Linked DNA regions of Drosophila melanogaster. The protein of the gene in region 1 binds, or shares a complex with, the protein of each later gene. Each region holds a gene or a part of one and is shown on either strand. Other genes may lie near its edges.

Region 1 (3,428 bases):
ATCACCCTGAGCAGATCCTGGTATATATTGGGGGTTGCTCCCAGCTGGGCCAGATACTCGTTCAGTTCCACCATGACGATGTTAATGTCCAGCTGCACGTCCGGGGCATACTGCGCGTAGCTGATGGTGGACACCAAGAGATTGGCCAGCTCCGCCAAGGCGCTGTCGCTCAGCGATCGCACGGAGCACTTTTTCGACATGTCTCTGTTATGGTTTCGGCCCAGAGGTAAACAAAATACGACGCAGAAGCCGCTGGGAGATGAGCGCACTAGAGGAATTGTTTTGCTCGTGGTTACATCACTTGGTAGCAGGCGCAATGCTGGTTGTTTTCCTGCTCCCTTAGAGTATTTCTAACGTTCCTCGGTAACTATTTGCCCAATATCAGCTAATGGCGCACTTCTACACATGCGTGTACCTTATATTTAGGGGTAAAAATAGATTCTAAAATTATATAGGCGAAGGAATCGGTTTCTGCCGACGAACTAGTGAACTGCTCGATCCAACAGCACGATGCAAACTGAGAGCCATGGGACGCCAAAATGTTTGGTTTCCTCGGTTCCACATTCTCAATTCGGCGAGCCACTTGAGCGACCAAAAAAAAACAATGCTTAACTCGTTTCATTGTTATTTTGAGTCGCTTTACAATTGCATTATTTATTCGACAGCATCGGAATAGAGACATTCTATAGTTTACTTAACTGATTCGGATGAAAGCCAGCCAGTTATTCTGCTGTTTAAACAATATTACAACTATTACACAAAATTTTAAAACGAAATCAAAGTTTTTGTTTGGTATTCCGCAGCTTTAAGCCTTTTAAACTAGAATTTCTGGCGAATGCAGTTCGGTTTACAGATATTCGAATGTGGGAGAGTACTAAGAGAGCGTTTTTCAGTAGAGATTCTAGGGCTGCAGGTAGCTGGGCAGCTTCATGCGCATGAACAGCCAGGTGGTGAAGAAGGAGACCAGGATGAAAATGAATCCCATGGCGGTCAGCAGCAGGCGGTTGAGGTTCGTCTTGCCCGGCGTGTGCGTTTGGTCCATGATAATGAATCCCAGTCCGCCGACGGTGAACAGGAAGCTGCTGGCCAGGCCCTCCATGATGTACTGCCCATTCACACGGTAGGGCATAAAGGCCACTGGACGCGAGTGTCCGTGCTCATCCACCGTGGCTCCCAGACTGGGCGGCTCCACAATCACGTCATATATGATACCTGCGGGCCAATTTGCATCTCTGTTTAACCAATCTCAATTATAGAAAGCTTAGGACTCACCGCCTGTCACCAGAAAATAGGAAAACAAAATCACACTGAAAACGGCCATCGGTGACGGCATTGGAATGCTGAATCTGCGCACCTTGATGTTCGGCGGCACCAGGATGTGGAAGGGCAGGTTATACAGTGTCTCGATCATGATGAACTAATAATTTAATAACTATAAATTTAAATATATCACGGATTTTTCAATTTTCGTGGCGGTGTCGCTGAATTTTGCCGGCGTAGGCGGAGTTTGTTGTTATCTATCGAATAGGGATGGACACTTGTACGATACTCCCCCTGCATTGGTGTATTTCCACTAGACAGCATCTATGCTTGCAGCTGCATCGTAAGCCATGTCATTGTACTGTTAATGTCTTAAGTTTTAAACTGCCTAATCGATTTGAATTTTTTTATAAGACTCAAAATATATTATATGTAACATCAAACGATTGGCTTATTGATACTAATGTGCTTCAGCTGCGCAGCGTGAACAGCCTTTATATTTGGTCATACTTAGTGATGTCACTATTGCGCTCGCGTAGAAAAAGAGGAAGATGCCCCCAAAATAACAAACAAAACGTAACTCCCGATCAAAATAGCTTTAAATTGAAGTTAAATAACGAAACAACTATAATGGCGAGTGGCATTAACCAAGCAGCAGGTGGGCTGAGTGAATTTCTGAAGATTCGTAGCTTAGTTAACCACTCCATTTGCAGGTAAACTGCCGGCAATTGCGAAGAAGGTGCAAAATCTCGGCGATATGGGCGTTTGGCAAAAATCCCGCGCCTTCCACGATTTAATTGGATATATAAATGGCACCAGTTCGGCCATTCAGGGCATTAAAACCACAGACGAGATTTTCGAGTCGGAAATGCTCAAGAAGCTGCTGCGGCTATTCGATGCACTGGAGAAATTGGTAGAGCAAAATCCTCCATTGGAGCAGCCGCAGCGGTTCGGAAACAAAGCCTACAGGGATTGGGCGCAGGCAATGCGGGAATTGTTGCCCGAACTCCTAGAACAGCTGTTGCCAGACGACAAGAAGCGATACCAGGTGGAGCTGGGGCAGTATCTCACTGAATCTTTCGGCAATGCCACCAGGATCGACTACGGCACCGGCCACGAGCTGTCCTTCCTCTTCTTCCTGTGCTCCCTGTTCAAGGCGGAGATCCTGCAGGAAAGGGACATCGTGAGTGCTGCGCTGAGACTCTTCAATCGGTACCTTGAGCTCGCCAGGCAGCTGCAGCGAACATACAACATGGAACCCGCTGGGAGCCAAGGAGTCTGGTCGCTGGACGATTTCCAGTTCGTGCCCTTCATCTGGGGCAGTGCACAGCTGGCGGGTAAACAATTAAGAAGGATTCCTCCAAGATTTCCTTTCTGAAACGATTCCTTTCAGTTAAGAGTCCCTTTGATCCCTCGAAGTTCGTGGACGAGGCGATAATCACCGAGTACAAGGATCACTTCATGTTCATCAGTTGCATCGACTACATCTGCAAGGTCAAGACTGGACACTTTGGCGAGCACTCTAACCAGCTGTGGAGCATCACGGATGTGCCAACATGGGCCAAGATCAACGCGGGACTAGTTAAGATGTACCAAAAGGAGGTAATCTTTAGTCAGTAATATGACTAATATAAAGTAGCTTTAATTGAATACCTAGTACTCAGAAACTACTATAAACTATCCACAGATTCTCTCCAAGTTTCCCGTGATCCAGCACGTCTACTTCGGAGAACTGATGACATTCGAGCCCGTCTCCTCTGGCACAACTCTGTCCAACGCACGACTGGGTCATGTGGCTCCGCCGCCATCCAAACGCATCTGCATCGGGACTCCAAACTTGGTGCCACCAGTTCCTGTTGCCACTGCTCCTCCTCCGCCCGCCGAATCTCTTAGCATCGAACAGAATGTGGGCGACTCGAGCAGTGAGAGCAGCGACAACAGCGTGGTACTACGTCCATCCACATCGTCGTCTTCTCTGGTGGCGGCCGCCGAGGGATCTGGGGATAAGCCCAGCAAGGAATAGACTACAGAATGGAGGAAAATGGCGATGGTGTAACCTGTGTTAAAAATTCTTATTAATAGCGTTGGCCAATGGTCCAGTAAAAACTGTTTACACAAGTACAATCGCAATTTGTGTTCCTGGGTCTTAAAGTTTCCGCTTTCAAATG
Region 2 (3,372 bases), on another chromosome or scaffold:
CGGTGGCAACTTACATATTTGCAATTGAAACTTGAAAAAAGGATTCTTCACGAAGTTACATACACGACAACAATAAACTTAACTTATTTCGCTAAAACTCCACAAAATTTTAAACTACAAAAAAGACGCGACGCTATTCATTTGGCGTTGCCAGTAACGTCTGTAGGCGCGCCTAGGTGGGGTGTTGCCAGAGCGCTCGAATAGACTATCAGAAAAGAGCTATAAATATCTAAAAGTTTCTTTGATAATAATAAGACATCACCCTGTATAATTACAAATGCATGATGCAATCGTTTTTAAACAGTTATTGTTAAATACAGCTGAGTTTATTTCAAAAGTTTTTATTGAAAATATACTCGAAAGCGTTGACCAGCAGGCAACCATTATATGCAGTATTTCATTACTAAAATATACTAAACGCGTAAAACGCAAGCTGGTCACACTTTGCCGGCAATTTTTGTTGACAAAACAAATCCAAAATGTTTAAAGCAAACTAAACCGACTTTTCAGATTGATCTATTTGTTCGAATTCACTTTATAACAACTGGAAGCAGCTTTGAAAAGCAACCAAAAAGTGGAGCTATACATTTTCTGCGAGAAGGCATGCAATAGAGACGCTGTGAAAACGACTTTGCGTTCGAGGTTTTGATTCTGTTGGAAAAGGATTACGATATCCATATAACCAGAGATTGGAGTTTTTTAACTGAATTCATGAATTCCCAATAAGATCCCCTATTCCACAGCACCAATACTCAGTAGTATAAGGCTGGCCAACTGTAATAATGGAGCTTGGATAGCTTCAAAGTGACCGATTGACATGACTTTATAAGTTAGTTATTTATTAAAGGTTATTAAAGATTAGGTATTCGAATGTGTTAGTAATGAAATAAGAAGCAGACGAATGGTTCATTTGAACTTCTTTCCGCCCTTTCTCGTCGTAGGAGCATCCACGCTGGGCACCTGAACGGAGTAATACTTCGTGGAGATCCTGTTAAGGAAGTAGAGCCCCACCAGGGAAAAGAGAACACTGGTGGTGGCGCAGACACGATGCACGAGTCCCGCGGCGGCCACCGTGAGTGAGAGACAGAAAATAATCTCTGGTAGCAGCTTGGCCTGGAAGTCCTGGCCGAAAACAACCATCTCCGCGTTGGAGACGCACGTGAGGCTCAGGATGAACACCCAGGAGAAGAGGTATCCGCCCAAAAGGACCCTCAGCTGCGAGTCGTTAAACCATTCTGAGCAGAAACGCAGTGTGCCGAACAAAACAATGCTCAGGAGGCCCGAGATGATGGAGGATACCACGGTGCTCTTACTGCTCACTGAAGCGGCTGCAAAGGTTCAGAGTTTAGTTTTTGTTGGCCGTAATTTCCTTGCATTTGCTTACACATATTACTTTTTCTTCCAGCCGGCGTCTTTCTTATACGTGTAGTGAATTATCGAACTATCGAAACTGATATTTGATAATACAAGGGATATTCCAGTATGTAACGACTAAACAAAGTTTTATTCGTTAGGCAGGCATTTTTCTCTATTTTTTTTACGTATTTACATGAAAAATTCTCGAATGACAAATTTGTGCTTGCAATAAAAATAAAAACAGATATCGTTATTTAAATACTGACATCGATAATTTTTTTTGAGAAGTAATATTTAAATCAATTGATGTGGCAACGCTGCGGCTTTCGTGGTGAATGACATTTGTAGTAACAACATTACACTTGAGCACAATTTTAATAAATTGTAAATAAAAAACGCCTTCAACATGTCCTTTGTGTTGCAATTGGCCACCAGGACAGTACGAAGTACCATTGCTCAGGTGCGTGGCGTAGCCACCACAATGCCAAGGCAAATAAAAGAGAGTGAGTTACAGAGACCTCTGTGAAGTGTTTCATAACCCCTCAAATAAATGCACATCTTTAAAATTAATTCGAATTTCTGTTCAATGCCTGTTCCAGTTCATGAGAAGCAGGAGAACAGTGTAAAGATCTTCGAGGGCGTTAATGTGGAATCGCCGCGTGCTCACCTGATGCTTAAATCCGCCTGCCAGACCAAGTTTTGCCCGGAATGCACCTTGGGCCTGGACATCAAGCACACGGATGTGCTAATCCTGTCGCAGTATGTCCGTTCCGACGGCTGTATGCTGCCCAGAAGGATCACCGGACTTTGCCACCGGCAACAAAAGAAGATGGGCACTCTGGTAACCATGGCTCAGAAGGCGGGACTGATGCCAAATCTGGCGCCCGAGTGGAGTAAAAGAGATCCCAAGAAGCGCTTCGGCTGGCGCAAGTTCAACAAGTACTTCCTGGAGTCCACAATTAAATACTAGTGTTAAATACAATAAATGTTGTTAATAGAAAATATGATTGTGGTTATGTTTGCTTTTAAATTATCTTGGAACGAAATGCATATTTATTTTATTTTCCTATTGAACTACCGCCTTTTTAGATATATAAAAAATACTCTTAATTTTAATATTACTACTTGCAATTATTTTTTTGCGCCGTATTTTTTCCTTGAGAAGTTTGGTCACTCTACGCCGGCGTCGCTTTTTATAATTTCTTTGTTCCCGCGGCTTTTCAAAGCTTCTCCTGCATTAAAATGAGTTTTTTAAGCAACAGCGACACAGTTCATGTGGAAGTTTGCCTGCGAGGTAACGATCTGTGAGTAGCATCCGTCCTCAGTTGGGATTTTCAGTTAATTATCCATTTTTTCAGTCGCTCTAATGCAATTCGCAACAATGTGGAGACAGCCCTAAAGGCCTATTTTCAGACGGCTAGAAAATTGCCCAGAAATGTGTCATTCCTGCCGGATCTCACAGCTGAGCAAACTGAACATGTGCACTCTGTTCTCCTGGAGCGCGACAATGGCGGTGTGCAGCCTCTAAAGGTCGCCGAGACCAAATTTCGCTTCCATTTCTATGCCACTAGGCCAGAGGAAGGGCAACTTGGTCTGTTTTCGGGCGAAGAAGGCTCGGATGGCATCGATAGCATCGTGGCGGCCAGTCATGCGCTCCTGCCAGCCGCTCAGTTTGTGGGTCTGTGGGAGAACCTCATCTACGAGACAGGACTCAAGGAAAAGGTGAGACGGGGAGTATGCATAGTTTTTATTTATGGTTTTATAAAGGAAATCATTTTTTTCCAGCTTCTAAAGTTTGCTCTTTCGGCACTGATGTTCTCTGAACACCGTGTGGACACGAATGTGATTGCCTGTAACCGACTGATACTGCTCCACGGACCACCTGGAACAGGAAAGACGAGCCTTTGCAAGGCCCTGGCCCAGAAGTTGTCTATCCGTACCCAAGGCAGCTATGCTTACACGCACCTGGTGGAGATAAACAGCCACAGCCTGTTCTCGAAGTGGTTCTCTGAGAGC

Evidence for each region.
Region 2: CG9662 (region 1) and CG31460 share a complex: the UniProt entries of both Drosophila melanogaster proteins name them as parts of the oligosaccharyltransferase (OST) complex.

The regions. Positions count from the first base shown.
Region 1 is NT_033779.5:3,375,209-3,378,636, forward strand, and holds CG9662 (uncharacterized protein), read right to left. Parts: upstream 1,530-3,428; 5' UTR 1,412-1,529; coding exon 1,273-1,411; intron 1,213-1,272; coding exon 902-1,212; 3' UTR 624-901; downstream 1-623. Other genes in the region: CG15412 (uncharacterized protein), read right to left, coding at 1-200; Ptpa (phosphotyrosyl phosphatase activator), read left to right, coding at 1,891-1,918, 1,974-2,597, 2,654-2,862, 2,948-3,283. UniProt on the Drosophila melanogaster protein: Subunit of the oligosaccharyl transferase (OST) complex that catalyzes the initial transfer of a defined glycan (Glc(3)Man(9)GlcNAc(2) in eukaryotes) from the lipid carrier dolichol-pyrophosphate to an asparagine residue within an Asn-X-Ser/Thr consensus motif in nascent polypeptide chains, the first step in protein N-glycosylation.
Region 2 is NT_033777.3:8,560,899-8,564,270, reverse strand, and holds CG31460 (uncharacterized protein), read right to left. Parts: upstream 1,599-3,372; 5' UTR 1,389-1,598; coding exon 1,385-1,388; intron 1,337-1,384; exon of another isoform or gene 1,329-1,336; coding exon 907-1,328; 3' UTR 826-906; downstream 1-825. Other genes in the region: Cenp-C (centromeric protein-C), read right to left, coding at 15-16; mRpS18A (mitochondrial ribosomal protein S18A), read left to right, coding at 1,763-1,859, 1,956-2,326; pch2 (pachytene checkpoint 2), read left to right, coding at 2,599-2,660, 2,715-3,078, 3,142-3,372. UniProt on the Drosophila melanogaster protein: Subunit of the oligosaccharyl transferase (OST) complex that catalyzes the initial transfer of a defined glycan (Glc(3)Man(9)GlcNAc(2) in eukaryotes) from the lipid carrier dolichol-pyrophosphate to an asparagine residue within an Asn-X-Ser/Thr consensus motif in nascent polypeptide chains, the first step in protein N-glycosylation.